3 linked regions of the Cricetulus griseus genome follow. The protein of the gene in region 2 purifies or fractionates together with the protein of the main gene of each other region. This does not show direct contact. Links are inferred from orthologs where the notes say so. Each region holds a gene or a part of one and is shown on either strand. Other genes may lie near its edges.

Region 1 (4,231 bases), on a different chromosome or scaffold from region 2:
GAGGCCAGCCTGCTGTCAAAACAGGTGCCAGGCTGATCTGGGCTATACAGTAAAACCCTGCCTCAAAACAAACAAACAAACAAACAAAAAGCAAATCCCAGACCAAAACAACCCCCTACTCCCAGCAAAAAAAAAAAAATTGTATGAGTTGTAAAAACTATAAACCAGCAGCTGGAGAGAGGGCTTGGTAGTTAAGAGTGCTGGCTACTGTCGTAGAGGACTGGAGTTCATTTGCCAGCACCCAAGTTTGTCATCTTACAAACACCTGTAACACCAGCTCCAGGGAATTCAATACCCTCTTCTGGTCTCCACAGACACTCACACATGTGTGCCTGAACACATACAAAATTTTTAAAGTGCTTAAAAAGTCTCAACTTACCTTTCACTGAGAAGTAAGAGTAAGAGTAAGTTTAAGAGGGCACAAGACAGTAGCTATTGGTAGTTTAGGCACAATAAACTCAGTCCCATCTCCATATGAAACCTCCTAGCCTAGAGCTTCCTGTCTGGGCTACAGTATTCCTGTAGTTTTGTATCATGCACTCAGGACCCTAGTCTCATTTTAAAGAAATAGAACTTGACATTTTTGCGTAAAAACTAAATGAAACAATGTATGAATATTCTGAGTTAACAGTAAAAACCACAGATAGAAACGTGACAGGTGATTTCTTGACCCATAATACTTACCAATCTTTCTGGGATATGTTCTTATTATAAATATGCCCGGGGTTCTCTTTATAGGGAGGGCAGATACACTTACACCTCACGTCTTCAAAATTCTGTAACGAAAATGAAAGCATAACTTGTTTATAGTGTATCATCAATATTTAAAAAAAAACATCTGCACAATACACTTCGACAAGTATCCTGTCAGGTATTCTAAAACCATCATAAAGATCCTTAAAGCCCACAAGACCTGGTGTGTGTTTTATTCAACACATTTATGAATCCCATGACAACCAAATTGTGTTGTCATCTACCTGCCACTAGAAAGACACGAAGAGAAATGCTGATACAAAAGGACTGGGGAGAATTAAAATAAAAATTATTTACAAGCACACCATAATTCCAGGCTGAGGGTGGATGTGGCTCAGTGCTAAGGCATATACAGCACACACAAGGCCAATTCAATCTGCATGCAACAAAAGTGGGGGGAAGCCAGAATTCTACTAACTTCATTGTTTCTAACTTTTTTCCTTTTGGGAGAAAGGCATTGAGCATGGATAAAAGGGGCTTCGCTAGCTATAGACAGGATGAAGATTCAGGGGCACTCAGTCAGTGCTAGGAGGGTAGTCCAAAGGGAAAGTAGCTTTAATCTTGCCAAACCTTGCTAATGCCCCTTCCCCCCAGTTAACAGGAGGACAACTCCTAGCAAAACAAGTTTCATCAAGCAGAGAAAGCAGACATTAAATGCTGGACAGGGCCAAGACATGCTTTCTCAGCAAAGGGGTGTTTATTTGAGAAGGCAGTGGCTCATTATTCCCCAGAGAGACTTGTCCACTGTCCCTACGTACAATGAAATGTCTGGCAGAGCTGTTGGCAATTCCTAAATGTATTTGGCCACCACAGTGCCAGACCCTGTGTTCAATGAGGACGACTCAGAAAAACAAGAGGCGTGGCTCCTGTTTACTGGAACAAATCCTATCAAGGGGAGATAGACAAATGCATGTATTATGTATATCATGATACACTACATAAAATGGTCATGTATGACATCCAGGCAGAGGGTTCCAACAATATTACAAAAGTTGGGAGACTTTCTGCTGTGCCTATTTCTGGTGATATCAGAAAGATTGAAAAAAAAACTCACCAAAAACATCTGCCTTCCTGTAACCTGTCTTTCCCAGCCCTTTATAATATTTAAAGATATTATAAAACTCCTCTTTTAAAAATGCAGTGTCATTTACATCACCACACCTATTTTTGTCCCAAAATGAGTTAGCTCACTGGGAAGAAAGCACATGTTTCTTGGGCCATGGCAGCTCTGGGACACCAGATAACAACATGAGGGGACCAGAATGGTTAAGAAACACAAAAAGGGAAAGGACACAATCTCTCCTCTTTCCTAGGCTGGTTCTTCCCTTATCAGAAGAGGGAGGGAGGGTGGTAGGTCGGTGTGTGTGTGTGTGTGTGTGTGTGTGTGTGTGTGTGTGTGTGTGTGTGTGTGTGTGTGTGTGTGTGTGTGTGTGTGTGTGTTCGTTTCTGGAGGTGAGAGTATCAGGCTGGTGAGATAACTCTGTAGGTCCTCCTGGGAAGGGGTGGTTGCCACGAGAGGCGAGCCCCCACCATGGCAATGGAATCTGCTCATGGATTAGTCGAGAGGAGCTAGTCCCTAGTAGGGAAGACTTCATGAAGGTGAGGATTTCCCATGATTTGAGTTGGGGCCTGCGGGCTGGTGAAGGGCCGGAGTGGGCCACCGGAGTTTAAGGGTGGAAAGTTCAAAGCTCCCAGGGCTGGAAAGCTCCTCAAGTTCCGGGTGTGTGCTGTCGGGGATAGGAAGGGAAATGTCAGGAGGTGGAGGAGGAGTTGCAGACCCGGCTCCGGGGACTGTCAGGGGTTGAGCTCTGGGCAGGGCTGGTCGGGGCTGTGAAGCAGCGGCTCTGGCTGTCGGATTAGGAGAACCCGGGAGTGGGGAGCAAGTGGGCAGCCCCGGTATCAGCCAGGCCAGAGGCAGGGGCGGAGCTCCTGTCAGGAGCCTGGCGGGGCGGGACTCACCTTGGCGGCGCCTGTCAGCTGCGGTAACAGCAGCACGGACAGCGCCAGGCAGGACAGGCTGAGCCCCGAGCCCAGCCGCAGCAGGCCTCCGTGCCACAGACTTGCCATCGCGGGAGCCAGCCGCCCCAGCGAGCCCCGAGCCCCGCTCCCGGCTCGGGATCCAGCTCGGGATCCTCCGCCCGCACTTCCGCCTGGGCCTGCGCGTCACCGTCCGCGCCGGGTCAGCTGCGAGAAAGCCTCCGCCCCGGAAACGGTTCCGGGTGCGTCGGGCCTGCCGCGGCCGCTGCCACCGCCACCGCCACCGTCACCGCCACCGCCACCGTCACCGGGCTGCACTACAGTCTGGGGTCTGTCCCGGTCGGGGCTGGCTAGCCCTGCTGCTCCGGGGAGTAGGTCACGCAGGCCGAGTCCTGCAGGCTGGGTGAGCCCCATCCCCGGGAACTGCCGAGGCCGAGAGGGTGCTGCGCGTGGAGCCCTGGCCGGGAGTAGTGGCCGAGCGTTCGGAGCTCCCAAGCCCACCCGGAGGCGGAGAGTCGGAGCTCTCGTTCCCGGGCTTTGAGACTAACCTGCGCTCCGTGCGCCTCTTGGATTCAGCTCCCTGCAGGACCTCCAACAGTCGCTGTGGGCTGCCTACGTGGGTGTGGCTTCCACTAAGGGCTGACCTCCTTGGTGCAGCTTGGGGCTGGGAAGAGGGCCACGACTGTGGAGCTGGGCTGGCTCAACTTGGGCTCCGCTACATATGGACCGCACCGGTAGCATCCCCGCGCCCCCAGAACTACTGGAGGTGGAGAATCCAGGCACTAAGCTCCTGTGAGGCAAGACATATTTAAACCAGCCGACCCCTCAGTTCTGGGAGCACTGACCCTACTCTTTGAGGTTTCTTCTGCTGGTACTTTAGGAGCATCCTAGAGAGGACACAGTGCCTCTAATTTTATACATATATGTGTGTATACATATATGTGTATATATAATATATATGTACTTATAAACTACACACACACACATACATACATACATACATACATACATACATACATACATATATATTAGAGGGGGTAGTGGAAAGGATGCAGCATGCTCATCACAACCCTTAGGTATTTGCTGAATGTCATCAGGAAAATCACTTCCCTTCAATAAGAGGGAATTGAATTCTATGAATTTCAAAATCTATTCCCAAAGATAACCATTTTTTTAAAAGTGGTCCTTTCCTAGTTGGTGAAAATGTTTTATTTACTGGGTACAATTTTCTCAGTATTTTTCTACTGTATGTTTCTTGTTGATGCTAGACGAGAACCTAGCACAAACTACTATAACATTAAATATACTTAGCTCTTTTTAGTCCTAATGGCAACTGTCCTGGAGCGATATCAGCAGGACTGGATGCTTTTTCGCCAGTTCTTGTGAAGATGCTGTCACATCAGGGATAATTCAAGTCCTTCTAAGTGGTGTCCTGCTGATCGCAGGACTGTCAGTATGAAATTTGTTGGTGAGGCACTGTGGATCTGATTGCTAAAAGCTG
Region 2 (3,645 bases):
ACTACAGCTTGGTGACTATCAATCAGGATCAGAGCCAGAGGGTATCTAAGCTCCAACTAGATTTTCCTTTAAGTCTCCTCTCAGCCTGGGTCACAGAATTTGGCCTAGAAGAGGGGAGATGATGGCCCGAACTCCTTTCCTATCTATTTGGGGCTTAGATTGTTTTACTCAAGCAATGTCAATTTTAGGTTATCAAGATGGCCTTGCTCCTCAGTAATAGTCACAATGTTCTTTGGCAAATATTCCAGGCTGTACTTACTCTTTCAGGCTGTTTCGTGAACACTGACCTTATTCTCAGAATATTTTATAACCGGTGGAAATACCTGTTCCTCCTCAACTGCTTCTGTTTCTCCATCCACACACTCTCACTCTTACACTCTCATCCTCTTTCCAACTGTCACATGGCCCTTTACTCCCCAAAAGTTCATGGAAGTTTGCAAAAATACTTCTGGCTTTCCTAGGTCTTTCCTATTCTGAGATCCCTCATGGGACAAGTATATGTAATATATATATATATATATATATATATATATATATATATATTATATGTCACTTGTTGAGGAGTTATTGTAAAGGGGTGCAGATTTTAGCTTTTCAGCTTTGTTTATTTACTTAGTCTGTATTTAATCTTTCTGTGTTTGGCCTGCAGATAAAAACTATCCTGAGTGGTTTCATTATTAGGGGTTATTTGGGTAAGTGGACCCTTGTCATCAAAACTATCACTTTGGTGCTGGCAGTGTCATCTGGCTTGAGCCTGGGCAAAGAGGGCCCCCTAGTGCACGTGGCTTGCTGCTGTGGGAACATCTTGTGTCACTGCTTCAACAAGTACAGGAAGAATGAAGCCAAGCGCAGAGAGGTAATGACATTTGACCTTAATAGTTTATTTTTACTCATGAGCAGAGATGATCTTAGTGGTGAGAATTTGGGGATTTCATCCTTGTGAATTCAACTAGCTTTTGGTTCAGCAGGTTCAGTTCTAGGAGTCTGTTTTATAGCCACGCTAGTATGTGTATATGCACAGGTATCTAAGGATAGTCAACACAAACTTAACATTGTAAAAGCAAAATGTCCATCAAATAAGGCCTTGATTTAAAAAAACTGTTCTGCTCATATCATAGGCAACTGTGCAACCATTTAAAAGAATGAGATAGCCCAAAATAAATTGACATGGACTGCTGACAACAGAACACTACAGCTAGTTTGTGACTACTGTTTATGGGATAACCAGTAAATGTATGTCTTTGCATTTAGGAAGAAAATGTCTAGGGCTGGTGTGGTGGCTCAGTCAGTAAAGTACTTACCTTACAAACGTCCAAGAACCTATTCTTTTAAAGTGGTACATACTTATAATCCCAGTGCTTGGGAGGGACAGGCTGATCTCTGGGTCTCAATGCCCAGCCAGCCTTGGCTGCTAGCCCAGTACCAGGCCAATGAAAGACACTGTCTCAACAAACAAAGTGGATAGTGCCTGAGGAACAACACTTGAGGTTGACCTCTGGCCTCTCTTGCACATACATGCATCTGTACACTTGCATACCTGCATACATGAAGATGAATATATAAAACCCCAAAATATCTGGGAATAATTTTATTCTAAACTGTGAAAAGCATGCACTTTGTGTTAGGTGGGATAATAAGGCAGTAGGAAAGGAGAAGTGAGGACTTGAATTTTTATTTTATTTTTATGTGTCACTTCTTAAAAAGAAACTATAGAAAATAATAGACTTTGAGGGACTTGTTGTGTATGAGTAAATATAAACAGTATTTCAAATGGCAGGTTTTCATCTTTTATTGTTATTAAATGCCACTTGAATTAGTTTCTCCCTGTATTACACCTCTCTCTGCCTGCCTCTTGCTTCAGTCCATCTAAATTCTTTCTACTGTAGCATCACTGTATGTTTTAGTTAGGGTTTTTGTTGTTGTTGTTTGATTTGTTTTTTTTTAAGATTTATTTCTTTATTACATATACAGTGTTCTGCCAGCATATATGTCTGCAGGCCAGAAGAGGGCACCAGATCTCATTATAGATGATTGTGAGCCACCTTGTGGTTGCTGGGAATTGAACCCAGGTCCTTTGGAAGAGCAGTCAGTGCTCTTAACCTCTGAGCCATCTCTCCAACCCCTTAGGGTTTCTAGGGCTGTGAAGAGACACGATGACCACAGCAATTCTTATAAAGGAGAATATTTAATTGGGGTGGTGCGCTTAAAGTTCAGAGGTTCAGTGTATTATCATCATGACAGAGAGCATGGCAGTGTGCAGGCAGATATGGTGCTGGAGAGGTAGCTGAGAGTTCTACATCTTGCAGGCAAGAGGAAGTGAAGTGTCACACTGAATGAAGGTTGAGCAAATGAGCTTCAAAGCTCCCCCCACACACACACTTCCTCCAACAAGGCCACACATACTCCAACAAAGCCACACCTCCTAATAGTGCCACTGCCTTTGGGGGCCATTTCTTTCAAACTAGCACACTGTGCTTATACTCCAGCTCAAATACATCCAGTTGTTAATGTATACTATTTTGAGGAGGAAGAATATTTTTCTTTTTAATTTAAATTTTTTTAGATTATTTTTTTCATTTATTTTATATACTGATCAGTTTTCCCTCCCCCTCTCTTCTCATTCCATCTCCCATCTCCCTTCTACCCCCCCATCCACCAAGAAGGAAGAATAGTTTTTAAAAAATTGTCCTAAGTCATTGGTTCCTTTTATCTTGCTATAATTATTAACCTAAGGAAGCAGTGGTTCTTGTTTTATTTTCCTTGAATGGCCTAAAAGTCACAGGCGGAATAGGTCAAGGCCTAGATCATTTTATTAGAAAGAACCTCTTGTAAAACTGGAATCCAGTGGTTTCTCCTGAAAATAACGACAGCAAAAAGATTAAGCGGAGGCTCTGGAAACTGAAAATGCTGAGGTTTTAAGTGAGGGATAAAGTTTCCACTAAACGGGGAAAAGTTCCTGGAGCAGTCAGAAAGGGGAGGAGAGCAAGCAGGAGTGGCGGAGGGGCATGCTAGTAGAGTGTCATGTGGGAGAAGGACACAGAAGCTGTGCTAAATTAGAGAAGTTGTTTATCAGCAATAACATGTACCAAGTCAGCTAACTGAAAAGAAAACCATTCTAAAGGGCAAGAATAAGTGTTGGTTGCTGCCTTTGCACCGATAGAGTTGAGTTTGAAACTGGATTCCTTTTAGAAGTTGAAATGTTTGTCTGAACTTGCCCGACATTTATCTGACCATCTGGATTTTTAGTCGTTTTGCTTTAACTTAGATATCCTAGTGTTTCTTTCTGTCATGCTGGGCCTCAGTCCCAGAGCCTTGTGAAAGTTACATTGTTTTGTACTTGTCAATAGCAGCACATGTTTGTAACCAGTGGCCTTATGAGCAGATCTGAGTTGGACAGGGGGGGGCAGAGATTCCATCCTCAAATGTAAAACTTAAGTTTCCCCCTCCAGTTTCATCCTAAACATACCCAGTGAAATATCCCTGTTTATGGGTTGAATTTTAGATTCCCTGACCTTCTCAAATGACAGCCTTTTGAGCTCTGACTTGTCCAAGCTCTCAAGGTTAGCACCAGAGATTTATATCCTTTTCCTTCCCCTTAATTTCCCTAGATGGTTTGCCAGTCCTGAAGAAACCTGTCTGCTTGTT
Region 3 (4,292 bases), on a different chromosome or scaffold from region 2:
TATCACCTCTGCAAAGTCCTTTTGCTAGATAATGTTGCAGAATATTTTACAGTGTGTGAAGATGTGTTACTGAGATTGGTTTAATAAGGAGCTGAATGGCCAGTAACTAGGCAGGAAAAGGTTAGGCAGAACTTCTGGGGACAGAGAGGATTCTGGGAAGAAGAAAAGTGGAGTCTCCAGCCAGACATGGAGGAAACAGCATGGACGGTACAGAGAGATGAAGTAAAGAGCCACACCACAGAACACAGATGAAAATAAATGGGTTAATTTAAATTATAAGAGCTAGGGGGACAAGCCTAAGCTAAGACCAAGATTTCATAATTAATAGTAAGTCTCTGTATTGTTATGTTTTTGTGAGCTGGTGGCCCAAAGTCTGCTACAAGGTAACACAGTCACAGGTTCTGGCAGTAGCACAGGGACCTTTGATAGCCATGCTGGTATTCTTATCACACTCTGACAGCTCAGAGAGCTCCTTGCTACCTTACCATCAAAGCTTCACCGCCATCCTGGGCTCTCCTGGCTCGTGGTCTAACTTTCCCACTAGCTATTGCATTCTTTTTTTCCCAACAACAAAGCTCTTACTATCCTAAATTGTAACAGCTGGTTAAACATTGTTTTCTTTGTGGTGTTTAAGTTCTACAAGAGCAGAGTCAAGGTTTGCCTCCACCCTCCCCTAAACAGCCTGCGTGTCTAGCATAGGACCCGACACAATAATATGCCAGGGGAGGAAAACTCTTCTGTGGCACATGGTTCTCCTTGCTAAATTACATTCTGGTCATGCGACTATCCCTCCATCCAGGAACCCCAATCCCTTAAAGCCTAAGAGACTCTTAGCTAAAGAAACTGGTACCCAGAGAGGGAAGGCGTGGTCTCTGGGGTAACACAGGTGATTTCTTCCCTGAAGGACTGAGGCCAAAGCTCAATTGTCCTCACTGTAGTGGCCCTGGGCTCTGATGACTGCACTTTGCTGCACTGTCTCAATTTGCCAGGTCTTTAGAGCCAGTGTAGGCTAATGAGGCACAGCCCCCTGCAGACCACACCTACTAACCCTGTTTTATTCTCCCTAGGTTGTTGTCTTAGTGTGTGTGTGTGGGGGGGGGGGGGGGTAATAGTGACTGGGTCCTTTAGTTCCCTGTAAAACATGTGGCTCTTTAAATATTTTCAGACTGTAAATAAGCACAATCAACCTTGATCTTGTTTTTAAATTGTTATTGTTGTTACTAGCTTCATTTCCAAAAGGCTTTCCCTGAAACAGGAAGATAGTATAACGCGAGGAAGAACAAAGCACTCTGGGAGGAGTTGGCAGGACCCTCCGAGATAGATCTTCGGTTCTCTGTAGGAAAGGCAGACAGTCCCTTTTCTTGCTAGGTCCTGGTAGAGAAATGTCTTCCTCTCCCTAGAGTGGGAGCCTCCAGGACCAGGCGAAGGTGGGACTTGTTGTCTTGACGACTAGCGAGGTTGGGCTGAGCGGCGGCTCTAGCAGCCAATAGAAACTGGAGGGGTGGGGCTTGCTGGTCTGTGGAGGCTGCGGCGGAGCTTGCAGGTTGGTGGACCGCGCTTTGGGGGAGGGGTGCCGGGGGTCGCAGGGACACTGGGGGTTCCCGGCCGCCCCAAATCCTTAGGCAGGGTGTGCAGTGCCCTTGGCAGTCGGAATCGGGGCTTTTCGTTGGTCCCGAGCGGCGCTACGGGGGCAGTGGAGGCAGAGAGGTGGGAGGCGAGGGTAGGAGCGGGGCCTGCTGGTGACGGGATCTGGGGGCTCCGGGAGGCTGTAACCCCAGAAGACTCCCGCTGCTCGTGCACGGGAAGCTCCTGAGAGCTGGACTTGGGGAGCGAAAGGTTTAGAAGGCCCAGGAATCCTGGAACTCAGCCCCCTTGCGTCGTCTGGCAAAGCTGTAATGGGGCCGAGCTGTGTTGTGACCACCTTCCCTTCTTCCGACTCCATGTTTCTTTTTATCCCCCTAGGCGTCTAGTCTTGCTGGCTCAGCAAGCCTGATAAGCATGAAGCTGCTGTGTTTGGTGGCTGTGGTGGGGAGCTTGCTGGTGCCCCCAGCTCAAGCCAACAAGGTGAGGGAGGTGAGCCAGCAGCACCTTGTTGCTCTAGCACCGGGCCTGCGGGGCTTTAGCAGCACCACTCTTTGCCCCTCACCCACCCGAGGACCACACTTGGAGGACCTTACCTGGGGCAAGCTGCAGGCCTTCCCTAGGGGTGTAGGGAACACAGGGTTTGGAGCACCACACCGCACAGGTTTCAGACCAGACTGGCCCTCGGCGGAATTCCCCACAAGCAAGAAAGTTTGTTTAGAGCAGTTACCCAAGTTCTCCATGTCTTCCTTTGCCCTAAGTAAAAACAGCTGTGTTCGAATCTGCTGCTCTATTTGGGGATAATCAAATCACATAACGTTGTAAAGTGCTCTCTGAGTGTAAAGGCATGCACAGATGGTGGTTTCTGCTTCCAGCTGACACAGCTTCGTGGTACACTCCTGAGATTGCTCCCATTCCTTAGGGCTGGAGGACCAGCAGCTGGGTTTGGATGCTCTCTCTTTGTAACAGAGGTCCTATGGCTTTAGATTCTGAGGGTCACCAAGATATTGAGTAGCAGGGCTTGCTTCTTTGCCCTGAAGGAATTCCTGGAGGGAGCCTGCCCATGGAAACACCCACTTTTCTTTATTCAACCCTTCCTCCATCCTAACCTAGGGAGTTAAGACAGATTTGGGGGGAATTCTGGCCCACCTACCCCACCAGACAGAAAATACACAAGTGTGGGCCTCAGGGTTGAGGCCTGTCACTTTGCTTGCTGTATGTCCTGCCTCAGGCAACTTCTGTTTCTTTTGATACCAGAGAGGTTCCTATCTTGAGGCCCCTGTGATGTGGCAGCCTTCCTATAGAGATAGTCCTCCTTGAATTGGGGATGGGAAAATTCAAAAGCATACATATGTACCTCACAGAACAGGACACAAAACTGAAGTGTGCTAGCCTGCCCAGAATCTGAACCCAGGCAGGGTCTTTCCTGCTATTTACTCTTTGTCTTTCTTCCAGAGCTCTGAGGATATCCGGTGCAAATGCATTTGTCCACCTTACAGAAACATCAGTGGGCACATTTACAACCAGAATGTGTCTCAGAAGGACTGGTAAGGCAGTGTAAATGGCTGGCCCTTGGCACAATCACCTGGCTGAAATGATCAGGGCTTTCCTAGACTTCCTATTCTAGAGATAAATTACCCATTTCTGTGGAGTGCCTGCAAAAGAATATTTTGTCCTTAACCATTTGATAACAAAACCCAGGGATCTTGAATTACAGCTTGGGGGGGGCAGTGTTGGATTTTGTTTTCGATTTCAGTTGATGTGAAGAGTGGTGGTAGATAAGTGGGAGGGGCAGGTGTACATAGTATATACCTCGGTACTTTTGCAAACCTGTGTGCTTTGCTGGTTTCATAGCAACCTTCTAATGTAAATAGAGTAGATGCTGTTCCCATTTTATAATTGCATAGACTCAGGTCCAAACAAAGATCTTACGTTGTGCTCCTTGTGTCTCTGGTCTTGAATTCATTTCTTAGCCCCTTACTTAAAAAAGCACAAATAACCAAGAATGCATTCAGGTAAAGAATGTGAAGGTGAAAGGAAGAATAAATACTGTGTTCTAGAAGGAATAGTTTAAGGAGCTAGAATCTCCCTGAAAAGGGAGAGACCTGGGGACATTCCGTGAATGTTCAAGATTGGGAGAACAGCTGCTGAGGGGAAGGGGCATTTGGGATTGGAACCACGAAGGCTTGGGATGATCACATAGTGTAGACGGAAGGCCAGTGGATGGGATGACAGCTTCAGGGAGTCAGCCTCAGTGTGAGTGAGGGAAACATTGCCAGTGCTGGAAGGATGGGAAGCTTCATCCTTGAAGACATCACGGGGTAAGGTCAAGGTGTATGCAGTGAATGGGGGTGGGGGCCAAGGTTGCTACTACCTGTGCATCAGGGAATCACTAGGTGCGCTTTAAGAAAATTTGCAGTTCCGACAGTCTCCTGCCAAGATTTTGATTCAGCAAATATGGTAGCATCTGTCAGAAGAGTAACCTTTGCTTGGAGTCCTTGAGGTGCTCATGATGCCATTGATCCAGAGCACATTTGAGAGTTTTCAGATTCGTAGCAGTTGAATTTTCTGAAAGCCAGTGTTTGTGCATGTTTAGACTCTGGATCCAACTTTTCTGGACCCAAGTCTAGCTTTTTCATTTGTTCATCGTGATTTAGATTACTTAATCCCCACTGTACTTTGGTTTACTTTCTTAATTTTTATGTATATAT

The links.
Region 1: the proteins of Clcn5 (region 2) and Tmem9b purify together in Homo sapiens (co-immunoprecipitation; 3 studies listed by BioGRID and IntAct, counting the BioPlex papers as one, with this or other methods). This does not show direct contact. The link is inferred for Cricetulus griseus from reciprocal best matches to the Homo sapiens genes CLCN5 and TMEM9B.
Region 3: the proteins of Clcn5 (region 2) and Tmem9 purify together in Homo sapiens (co-immunoprecipitation; 3 studies listed by BioGRID and IntAct, with this or other methods). This does not show direct contact. The link is inferred for Cricetulus griseus from reciprocal best matches to the Homo sapiens genes CLCN5 and TMEM9.

What each region holds. Positions count from the first base shown.
Region 1 is NC_048596.1:90,968,746-90,972,976, reverse strand, and holds the start of Tmem9b (transmembrane protein 9B), read right to left. Parts: upstream 2,911-4,231; 5' UTR 2,821-2,910; coding exon 2,713-2,820; intron 777-2,712; coding exon 685-776; intron 1-684. Other genes in the region: Nrip3 (nuclear receptor-interacting protein 3), read right to left, coding at 2,917-3,187, 3,279-3,394, 3,463-3,520. UniProt on the Homo sapiens protein: Enhances production of pro-inflammatory cytokines induced by TNF, IL1B, and TLR ligands. Has a role in TNF activation of both the NF-kappaB and MAPK pathways.
Region 2 is NC_048604.1:113,634,761-113,638,405, reverse strand, and holds part of Clcn5 (H(+)/Cl(-) exchange transporter 5), read left to right. Parts: intron 1-649; coding exon 650-856; intron 857-3,645. UniProt on the Homo sapiens protein: Proton-coupled chloride transporter. Functions as antiport system and exchanges chloride ions against protons. Important for normal acidification of the endosome lumen. May play an important role in renal tubular function.
Region 3 is NC_048598.1:53,257,857-53,262,148, reverse strand, and holds the start of Tmem9 (transmembrane protein 9), read left to right. Parts: upstream 1-1,457; 5' UTR 1,458-1,543; intron 1,544-1,569; exon of another isoform or gene 1,570-1,707; intron 1,708-1,962; 5' UTR 1,963-1,998; coding exon 1,999-2,073; intron 2,074-3,036; coding exon 3,037-3,128; intron 3,129-4,292. UniProt on the Homo sapiens protein: Transmembrane protein that binds to and facilitates the assembly of lysosomal proton-transporting V-type ATPase (v-ATPase), resulting in enhanced lysosomal acidification and trafficking.